Schizosaccharomyces pombe: one gene and its partner. The protein of the gene in region 2 interacts with the protein of the main gene of each other region in a pairwise test. Each region holds a gene or a part of one and is shown on either strand. Other genes may lie near its edges.

Region 1 (6,267 bases), on a different chromosome or scaffold from region 2:
GGCTGGTTTCTGCTCAATCCATTAGTGGTACCGGTGCCTTGTGTATAGCAGCTAATTTCCTTGCTTCATTTTATCCATCAAAGACTATTTACGTATCTGACCCTACTTGGGGAAATCACAAGAATGTATTTTCTCGAGCTGGCTTGACCGTTAAGTCCTACAAGTATTATGATCCTGCTACTCGTGGGTTGGACATTAAAGGCATGTTGTCCGATTTAACTTCAGCTCCTGATGGCTCTATTATATTATTGCATGCTTGTGCTCACAATCCAACTGGTGTAGATCCTACGAAAGCTCAGTGGGATGATATCCTCAAAACAATGCAAAAGAAAAACCATTTTGCTCTTTTAGACATGGCTTACCAAGGATTTGCCAGTGGTGATTTTGCTCGTGATGCTTATGCCACTCGTCTGTTCGCCTCCAGCAATGTCCCCATGTTACTCTGCCAATCCTTTGCTAAAAACATGGGTCTATATGGTGAACGTGCTGGCTGCTTTAGCATTTTAGCCAACGATGCTGAGGAAGCCGCTCGTATCGAAAGCCAAACTAAGATTCTCATTCGTGCTTTGTATTCCAACCCTCCCGTCAATGGGGCCAGAATTGCCAACCATATATTGAGCAACCCTGCACTTCGTGAACAGTGGGCTGGTGAAGTTGTAGGCATGTCCGAACGTCTTAAGAGTATGCGTAAGGCTCTTCGCAACATCCTTGAAAAGGACCTTAAGAATAAACACAGCTGGAAGCATATCACTGACCAAATTGGTATGTTTTGTTATACTGGTTTAAATCCCCAGCAAGTTGATGTTTTGGCTAAACAGTATCACATTTACCTCACTAAGAATGGTCGTATTAGCATCTCCGGTCTCAACACTTCCAATGTAAGATACTTTGCCGAAGCTATCAATGCCGTTACTTCGAATTAGTCGGTGGTGAAATTGAAGTGAAAAGATTTTGGTTTATTATATAGACAGATGGATTTTTGATTGATTCTTTGTTCTGAATCTTTTTTGTTCTTCTTTCTGTTTTTATTTTATTATACATACATATAGACAGACTCAAACACACATATACATATACATATATTTGTATACATTTAATTTTTTTTCCCTTTTCATTTCTCCGAAACCATGAGAAGACGTATTTAGTAACCTAATTGTCTCGGCTTATTTTTTTTTCCTTATACTTTCGCTTTGAGGTGAATAACTACAGTTTTGCTTCCAAATAGATGGCATGGTCTGTTTTTAAATGAATGGATTTTGGATCTAAAAATTGACTAAATATTGATTCGTTTTCGAAATAGTATGCTTTTCGTTTGTCTATCTTCATTTATTTCCATACTTTGTTTCTGTAGATGTTTGTCTAGTAGTTCACTTACTTCATACTTTAGATTGCCTCTAGTTAACCCAAAATTTGGCACATTTTACTATCCTCTCTCATATACATATTAAATCCCACTTTTTCGTTGGAAAACTATCAATTATCTTTCCCATTGCATTTGTCATATGTTGGGATTTCCCAAGTTCATCAAACTTCTGAGATGTACGAAATAAGTGAGGTAGGAATGAAATTTGTGCAAAGCTTTTAATTATTTCTAAAAATAGGAGAATATCGCTGGAAATTGGCACCTTTCCAATGACTAGGATAGGCCCTATGTAGTGATATCGAAATAAATATCTGCAAAAAGAGTATCATTCTTCCCTCCCAATGTGCAATGCTACAGCCATCAGGAATTGCTGCGCTTATTAGGAAATGGCCGAAAATGCCAAAGATGGTGGGAAACTGTTCTTCCATCTCCAGTTCGTCTTTTTTTTCTACACTGACTGATATGGAGGAATCATTGAAATTCGGGGTATAGTGAGACGTAGCGTCATTATATTAATATACTTTATCGTTTTGGGTGGTTGTGTATCGGTACATTTGACTGCTTTATTACGTTGCATGGCGTCACTCCCAAGTGTGAGTTTTGCAAACAATTCTTTCGCGGCATTTACCTACTTTCCGTCTCCCATTTACTACATTAGAATATCTAAAAATCAGACATAAGCACAGGCAAAACCATAGTCTCTACTCTCTGCCTTACCCTTGTTGCATTTGAACTTAATTATAGAGAGAGCACTTAACAATCTTGTGAGGATTGGTTTTCTGTCTTTTGAATTGATACGAAAACAATAATATCGCCTTTTTAGTAGAGCTTGATAATTTTAGAACTTAGCAGAAGCTGAAGGCAAGTTTGTGTGGCGTCTAAAACTTGGCATCAAAGTTTCGAACACGCAAAAAAAGCTCCAAAACCGTATTGACTCTTTTCCATTAGAATCGTTGTTGAAGGAGATTTATCCACAAATCCTATTTAGTATTTGTGGGTTGTGTGGTAAAGCCATTTTCTTCTTTTGGTAATAGCCCTTGTACTGTACTACAGGTTAGTGAAACTGTTGATTATTTCATTTTGCTGGCATACCACACATTATTTTTATAATTTGTTTGTGTTGTCGACGCCTCTTTCAATAACTCACATTTCCTCGCTTTAATTTCAAATCGTTGTTAAAAAAGGAAAGTCTTAAATCTGATACAATATTCTGTATCGATTGCTACATTTTACTGTTTGCAAAGTAATACTGCTGATAAAATTTAGCTGAGCTTCTCCATTCGCTCTTACTTTAAACCCTTTTCTTTTTTTTTTGGATTTTCTTTTAATTATTTTCTAAAAAATGAGTGTATATCGTGATAACATGTATATGAAATACGACCGAAACTTCGAAAATCGTGTCGCCCGAAGAAATGGACAGGCGCGTAACGCTAGTCTTGCTAAGACTCTTCACGATTCTGGCATAGCTGAACGTGCACGCTCTCCTTCAGGGTCAGCGATCCCCCATGCTTATCGGGTTATGAATGGTTCTGGAGCGAATGACACTTCTTTACCACTGACCTCAAATCCTGCTTATGTTGCTCTAACGTCACGTATATCTTCGAGCAAAAGTGAAAACAATCAACAATTGGCTGCTAATGAGACGGCTGGCGCACCTGAAGGCACGGAGGAGACCGTTGACATCTCCAATTCTATTAGCGATGACCATGCGAATGCCAAAAATCTTCCCGCTGCTTCAGTCAAAGCTTTGGTTGGGGCTGGTGTCTTGTCGGATGAACTTTCAGTAATTGCTTACGATATGTCATTTGAGGATGAACTCATCCAAGACAAACAGCTCATTGATCATTCCGTTTTTGACCAGTTGCTTGAGATGGATGATGATGATGAGCATGAATTTAGTAAGAGTATTGTTTGGAATTATTTTGAGCAGGCAGAGACTACCATTGCCGACCTCCAAAAGGCCCTAGAGGCTAAGGATTTGAAGAAGCTTTCCTCGTTGGGGCATTTCCTTAAAGGATCTTCAGCTGTATTGGGCCTTACAAAAATGAGAAAGGTTTGTGAACGTATCCAAAATTACGGATCTCTACGCAGTCGTGATGGTGTAATGAAATTACCGAGCGAGGAAATTGCATTGGATTTGATTAGCAAATCTCTGTCGGTTGTGAACGACTTTTATAAGGATGCTCGAGCTTACTTACTTGACTTTTATGAAAAAAATTCTTCTACATAAAAGTCTCAACATGTCAAAGTACCTAGCCTTTCTTTCCCCCTTTTTATGACATTTATACCAGTTGTCTATCAAAGTCTTCTAGTTTTCCCAAATTTACGATAACTTGAAGTTAGTGATGAATTTCCAGCTTTTACGGTTTGAATAGTTATATTTATTATGACGCCCACACTTTTCCCGTACTTTGAAGTGCTTCCCTCTATCAAAGCAAATAGAGTGAAGTAATACAAGTCCTCAATTTAGTTGAGTATCCCCTATCCAAAACTATCAAAAACAGTCTATTTTTTGCTTTACCTCGTCTACCTTTTTGATATTGAGATATGCAACAGGCAGGGTTTTCCTGCGGTTTTTTTTTACGGAACATTTTTGAAGCTCTCGATATCAAACTTTATGTATTTAATAAGCTGCTTTCTCGAAAAAAAAAATTCTTGTTTGTTACGTTCTTACGGTCGTGGCATGTATTTATACCTTTATTTATCTAGTTTATTTACGAAATTGTCTATTGTGATTGTTTATCACAAGCCCAATCCCCTAATGTTGAAGGACTTTAAACCTTAGATAATATGTTTACAACCGGTCGTTTAAGATGCTGAATTTGGTTAATTCAAATTACTCTTCAACACTCATTTATCCCCACGATTGGCGACAGATTTTTTTTTTTTTCGAGTTTGATTTGCTTTGTTGTTGTTTTTTTATGTTTTTCCTAAGTTTTTAAACTGTGTTTTCAAATTTTCTTTAACCTAATGTTAATCATTACATGTACCTGATTCTCCTTTGTTTACCTTTTTTATTATTCAACTTGAGATGTTGATGGATTTTTTATGATTTTGGTGATAACCTTCACGTCCTTGTACATTACTGAGTTGTGAATTATGGTGGACTTCAAATATTGATTGACAAACCTTGCAAAAATTTTAAGTATATTGTTCTTGCTTTTTGTAATTATGATTGCTTTTGTCATTATCTCGCTTTAGAGAGATTATTTAAAGGATTAATGAAAACACCTTAAAATGGTCATTACATACAATAATTATTTATGATTTGATTCATTCAGCGTTTAATATGTGTACTTTCAAGTGTGATCGAACTGACTTTTAGCGTCACTTACTAAATGTTTTTGTTGTTGTGGGTTAAAGATCGAAAACAATTCTTCGTTGTAGATTGTTCGTTTTTGAGAATAAAAACTAAGAAAACACGTTTGCGATGAAATGAAATTAACGAACTTCTTTTTTTTGTTAATCGAAGTATAGTTTGTTCGATTCCGCAAAGACAAGAGAACATTGAAATATTGATTTGTGTGAAACAGCGAAATCAAGTATACCTCGTTAATTAGCGCGGCAAGTAGGATCCTGCGGATTCATAGACGTTCCTTTGGAGGCGAAGCGTTATTAGGATTTTCATACCCGTTGTGCAGCTTTTCGTCGCCTTGTTTTTCTAGAATGATGCGGGATGAATTGAATATGCGGAAGCTACAGATGTGCAAAAACTAGGCATAAACCTCGCTTGCCTTCTTAGTTTGCTAGGCAATGTGAAGCAAATGGTCATAATCCAAGTGATACGCCTGACAGAGACAATTTAATTTGTAAATTATTTTTATCATTGTTTTTATCCTCTGATGTTACAATGTATTCATTGATATCGCATTTCGGCATTCCGATGTTCAACCCCGGTATGCGAGAAGGTGTTGGCCGCTTTTTTCGGTATCAAAGTTGAAATTTTAGATGACTAATCTTATGTTAATTAAAGATAAGAGGACGAAGTTTGCTGAAATCAAGTACAGGTTTTGATTGACTAGGCATCCTCACTAATGGTGTGAGAGAAATCTGTTAGGATATGCAAGCTGTCATTTCTCACTTTTTCAATGTTGGAAACCTGTACACAGACAATGCATACTCTTTTCTATATCAATTTGCAAACTAGATGGCAGCTCATTGTTCTGTGAATAATCAGATTAAGGTACTGAACAACGGAATATGGATTGCAATGTTCTTTGAAGATCTAGAAGGGGAAACCATTTTTGTTAGTTAAAAGTTTTATTTTTTTGTTTTAAGTTACTAGTTATTGTCTTTATTTTCTTATTTTCCTTTCTCTGTGCACTAATATTAAATGATTTTACTCTTACTATTTACCAATTCTCTTGAGCAGATGAAGAGAGGAATATTTTAAAAAATTAGTGTAATCCACGATAACGTACAATTTGCTTTTTCAGAAATCACACACGATTTCGTTAGTAAGTTTAGCCGAACTTTAGAGTTGTGCCTTATACAGATATCTAGAGATCATTTCTGTATAGCGAGCGACCTTTAGTACGACACACTTAGCAAAGTCAATGACGTTTCAGTCAAACAAGTGACTTATATAGGATTCATACGTGCATCCCATTTCATCGTTTGCCAACATGTCCCTCGCTTGGAAAAATGAGTTATTGAAGCTTTTAAAAGAAAATGTCGACTCCAGTGGAGTTATTCATCCCGAATACTTCCAGCTGGCAACTTTACCCACTGGTAATGAAATTTACCCCAGAAATCGTACTGTAGCTATTCGAGGATTTGTCGGTACAGGATGGCATAAACCACGTCCCGATGATGTGCTAGCTACAGATTTATTGGTATTCTCTACGGATATTGCTTCTCACAAAGCTGCTGAGATTGCTGAGCAGCAAAAAAATACATTCCCC
Region 2 (5,310 bases):
GGCACCCCTTATCCTTGCTATGTTAAATCTGTCATGGATGTAATGCTATTGCTATTGCTATTGCTATTGCCAGTGTAATAATAAACCGCGGAGCTGAGTCAGCACTAATAGCGTCATACCCTTATCTCTGCACTTATCGTATCGCTCGCCATCTTTTTTATAATTTTACGAGCGGAGAAATTTTTTGATGCAAAAGATATTTAACGAATCAATACATTGTCTTCTAATCCAATAACTACGTATTCTAAGGATGAATACTTTATAATGGGATTCTATGAGAATATTTATTTCGTTTATATAATCTTATGAAGCATTTCAAATAAGCATAACATGTATCTATTCTCTTGTTCGAAAACCGAGCCAAGGGATCAGGGGTCATTTCTAATGAATCAGGGGACTTCTTTTTCTTTCTCAATTCTTATTTTGTTTCCCTTTGTTGATAATGTAAAAGCCTCGTTTAATTGAGTACAATCAGCAAGTGAGGAATCGGTTTATTTCGCTTTCCTTTTCATAGAAAAAGGGACTCGTCCATCAATGTCCTGGCGTCGTTTATTCAAACTTTGTCATTCGGTGCTTTTTAACAGGCAATTTCCGCTTTTGCTGGTCGATCTGTATGCGTCAAAAGTTTTGTCTGGTCCGGCATCACACGATGTTGACAAAAAAATCATCATCCACTGCAAGGTGTAGTGGGTACACAAAGTTGGGTGTGTATTCCCAAATTCCAATGCATTTTTATAATATGCGATAAGCTCCCATAGCTAATCACTTGTCCTTTAACGTTGAAACTACTGTACACAAAGGTAGACCGCAGCACACACACTTGAGCATTCAAAGTAAGAGCGTCTGCTGGATATTCTTATAGCAAGGTCAATTGTGTTGAATGCATAAAGAGCATCTCTTTTCTGAATGGTTCAACGAGCATATTGCACAGTGGATTCCAATAAAAAAAATAAAGGAAACGTAAACGATCGAAAAAAAAATGCTTTTTAAAAAATCCCGTGTCAGCGTTTATACCAAGGAAATATCGCATAGTGATCCTTTTGCTCTACATACTCCACGCATGCACCATCGATACACTACCAAGAACCGCAGCAACTCAGCCTTATTACTGTGTCATCCATCCCATGTGTTTATTCTTGCTGTGCCCACAGCACGCTTGCACAAACGTATGTGGGACGGTCGTTACGTCTGCGATGATGACTGCCTAGGGAGCCCCGCGCGCTTTAGCCGGTTCAGGAAGAGTTTGGGATAATGCAGTACGATGGTATGCACTATACTAGATTTAACTTTGCAACGTTTCGCAATCGGTGAACAGCATCATCAAGTCAAATCAAGCACCGTAAAGGAGAGAGATCAGTACGAAAGATCCCTTTTCTGGAGGGTAGTGAAAAAGACAGTAATATGCGGGTTTCGCATTGTTTTTGAGGGTTCATTAATTGAGAAGTTTTTGCTGCAATTAACGTTAAAAAATATGTCGAATTTGCATTGCCGATCTCCTGCCGTTCATCGTTTAACCAACGTTGCGTAAGCTAACACGCCCTTGTGAGCATCGGCAAATAGCCACATGGAAGCCTCGAGGGTGTCATATCCACCACACCTCAAAATTTGCAACTCTCCAACAACCAACAACATTGTTGAAAAGGTGAAGATTTTTTGTAAATACGACCGTTTGGTCATATATTAAACGAGAAGATGCCGTCTTCGAACGGATCCTCCGACTTTGTATGTTGGTTCCTTTTTCCGATGAATTTTTTATAATTATAAAATTTCACGTTTCGTGATAAAACTATGTTTTCTCATACTAACGTTGTTGAATTAGGTGCGAAAACTCTTCAACATGTTGGAAGAACCCGAATATAGGCATATCCTGCGCTGGAGCGATTCTGGGGATTCTTTTATTGTGTTGGATGTAAGAAATCCTTGAAAATTTGTTTGCTGGATGTAAAAGAGAGAAGAAAGGAAGAATGAGTTATCATTATATTTATCGCCGCCATTGTTGTTATTTAACCAGAGAAAGCATTCTACTTTTATTGTTTATCCTCGAAAAGCTAGTAAAAGAGGGGAGATTTTTTTTGAAGGTTTGCTAAAAAATAATTTTTTTACTATTCTTGATTTGTTTCCTTTTTCTTTCTGATTACAACTTGAATTAAAAAGGATTGACAATGATGGGAAAGGAATCTTTTGAGGCAGCAAGAGATTCCTATCGCAACAATCGGGTTGTTTTATTACAAAAATCGCTTTTCTTTTTGAAATAAAACAATTCTATTCGTTGTTTTCTTTTTAGTATTACCAATGTTACGCTGAAAAACGTCCAGTTTGCCCGTAAACCTGAGTCGTCGAATTTGCTTTGTTTCCATACCCTAGTACTTTGTCCTTTTTTTTCGCATTGCATCTCGATTTTTTCGAACAGACTTATTCCTTGTCATCATCTTTTTTGAGTAATAGTTTTTACATCTCTTAGAGACCAATTTTATTTTTAGGCCTTACCTTCTTTTTAAACTTTGGCTTTTGACTAGCTATTCTTCTAGTCTTATGTTTTTTTTTCTCTTACGTTTGCATTTTTCTCCTTTCTTTGTCACTCTAATCTACTTTTCCGCATTCAAAATTCCTTTTTCCCCTTTCCCCTTTGTTTCCCTGAGTTTATCACTAACTTACTGCTTTTTAGACCAACGAGTTTACAAAGACCATTCTGCCTCGCCACTTCAAACATAGTAACTTTGCAAGTTTTGTCCGACAACTCAACAAGTATGAGATATTTTTATTTATTTATTTTTTTTTTACACTTGCTAATCGTCTAGATATGATTTTCACAAAGTACGGCACGAAGAAGGCGCGCCGAGTATATATGGTGAAGGGGTATGTCATATGGGTTAAGGATTTAGGGGCTTCATACTTGTTGAATAGGTTTGAGAAACAAACTTGTCTTCATTCCATCATACTTGTAAAAAAGCCATCCCTCCTTTTAGAATTTCTATTATACTAATCATTCTCTTCTTTAGGCTTGGGAGTTTCGTCATGACGACTTTCAGCTTCATCATAAGGACCTGCTCGACAATATTAAGCGAAAGGCTCCGTCCAAGCGCAATTTAGCTAACGAGAACACTGCTCCAGTTATTGAAAACCTAAAACAGCAGGTGGATTCTATATTAGACTTTCAAAAATTACTTGATAGAAATCTTTCGGGTCTTGCCACAAGTTACCAAACGATACTTCTTAAAATGTTTGAACTCAAGCGGGGGATTGAGTCTAGAGATTTGCTTATGAGTAGCATCATATCTTACCTCTGCGATTTAGAGGGATCTACTCAACGGCAAGCTAATCCCGGAGCCATGTTTGTTCCCTCTCATCCTCTCCAGGAGTTATTAAATGCATACCAAGCGTTAGCGAAGGGCCAAGTTGCAACTACTTCTCCACAACAGATACCAAATCAAATTCAACAGGCTTCCGCTGCTACTACCGCTTCTTCAAAGATGACTGTTGACACCAATCTTGGCACAGCACAACCTTCTTTGTATAATACTCCTTCATCTGATTATGAACTGGCAAATCAGGAAAAGCCGGCAGACTCCATGGCCTCTGCCGCCTCTCTAAATACCCCTTTATCATCTAATGACCATTCTTTGAATCCACACGCCCATGGCTCATATCCGATGTACGAAAAATTTCAACCGATTCAGCATCCAAATCCAGGAAGCTTTACCACCCATCTTGACTCCAATGCTTCCATGGCAAAGTCATTTTCTCAAATTTCAAACGATTCCCTTGCCAAAGCTAGTTCAGTAGCAACGTCCATGTCTCAAATGGGCGCTGCTGTTCCAACTACTGGCTTGTGGAAGCGGCAACCAAGGATTTTACTTGTCGAAGATGATGAACTTTCTCGTAGAATGACTATCAAATTTTTAACTTCATTTGATTGCCAGGTCGATGTAGCTGTCGATGGAATTGGTGCCGTAAATAAAGCTAATGCTGGTGGATTCGATCTCATCTTAATGGACTTTATACTTCCTAATTTGGATGGACTGTCTGTAACCTGTTTAATTCGTCAATACGATCATAACACACCGATTTTGGCTATAACTTCAAATATATCGATGAATGATGCAGTTACCTACTTTAATCATGGTGTAACAGATCTATTAGTTAAGCCATTTACAAAGTTGACTCTACTTCAACTTTTAAAAAAGCAACTTTTGAATCTTTTACAAGCGGATAACTCAATTAATATGTCTGATGTTCCCTCCACGAAAGAAGCTAAAGACGATAAGGCTCCTGTGACATTTTACTTAGAGAATGATGCTCCTATGTATCCTCAACAGATGTTACAGGATCCCATTCAAGCAGACTTACAGCATCCACATTGATGGAAAAGTCTTAATGTTATATATTTCTTATTTTTACTATCAGGTCTCTTTTACTTTTGTTTTATATAAAAAACTATCTATCACTTCTGTTTGATTTAGTTAAAGGTTTAATCTTTGGTCTATGTATCTATGTTCTCTTTGGGGTTCAAGTTAAGGCTTTCTTTTCGAAGAAAGGCTTTTCATATCCCATGACTAGTTGTTTAAATTCCACAAATTCCAAACAGTGTCGGAATTGTCTTTCATATCAACTACAACTAGAAACATGTACAGAAGAGACATAATCAATATAACTTTTCAGTTTTTGCATTGTATTTTAGCCACTATTTTCTTCGGTTTGCTCAAATTATATTATCTTCATTCGCTTGTTGTATTTCTTACATTTCAGCTAAAAATATTGAATTCGTCCAACTGATATTATCGTAAATAACTATGCGTGTAATTAACAGAATAGTGCTGGATTTTAACAACGCGCCCTGTAGACCAAAATTTTATTTTTCTTCTCTATCGTATTATTATTTGCTAGAAAATAATAGCCAGCTAAATTATGAGTGACCCTTTTTTTTTGAGTAGACAGAAACCACTTTCATAACACTGTTTTAAGTCAGAGTTCAGGATTTGTAAGGGAACTATTATTCTGACCCTTCTTCACTCTCGCTTTCACTTTCAGCAGTATTCAACCAGTCGACAAATTGTTTGCCACCGGCATCACGAAGCGCAGCCAATTCTCCTTCGCTAGAGCGGGGATCAGAATACCATTCTTGAATGGCATTCTCTTCAGCAATTTCTAATTGGTAGAAATATCCCAAAAGTTGTAAAAAGTGCCGAGTCATACTCAAACGGACACAGTACTTCTGCAGCGTTAATACGTTGTCAACTTGCTCTTCATGGCTAAATGTCAGTTTTGCAAGCAATGGACCCCAACGTGTCATTACTTTTGCTAGTGCCTCCT

The links. The genes of interacting proteins can lie anywhere in the genome.
Region 1: the proteins of prr1 (region 2) and mpr1 interact in a two-hybrid assay, tested with the Schizosaccharomyces pombe proteins (one study listed by BioGRID).

What each region holds. Positions count from the first base shown.
Region 1 is NC_003423.3:1,201,052-1,207,318, forward strand, and holds mpr1 (histidine-containing response regulator phosphotransferase Mpr1), read left to right. Parts: upstream 1-2,000; 5' UTR 2,001-2,705; coding exon 2,706-3,593; 3' UTR 3,594-5,722; downstream 5,723-6,267. Other genes in the region: aspartate aminotransferase Maa1, read left to right, coding at 1-923; SPOM_SPBC725.03 (pyridoxamine 5'-phosphate oxidase), read left to right, coding at 5,989-6,267. UniProt on the Schizosaccharomyces pombe protein: Binds to the msc4 response regulator which is part of a multistep phosphorelay system that transmits oxidative stress signals to the spc1 MAPK cascade.
Region 2 is NC_003424.3:3,664,315-3,669,624, forward strand, and holds prr1 (stress-responsive DNA-binding transcription factor Prr1), read left to right. Parts: upstream 1-1,617; 5' UTR 1,618-1,692; coding exon 1,693-1,722; intron 1,723-1,819; coding exon 1,820-1,909; intron 1,910-2,665; coding exon 2,666-2,745; intron 2,746-2,798; coding exon 2,799-2,856; intron 2,857-2,999; coding exon 3,000-4,361; 3' UTR 4,362-4,773; downstream 4,774-5,310. Other genes in the region: translation initiation factor eIF2B epsilon subunit tif225, read right to left, coding at 4,991-5,310. UniProt on the Schizosaccharomyces pombe protein: Involved in oxidative stress. Transcription factor that acts upon trr1 and ctt1.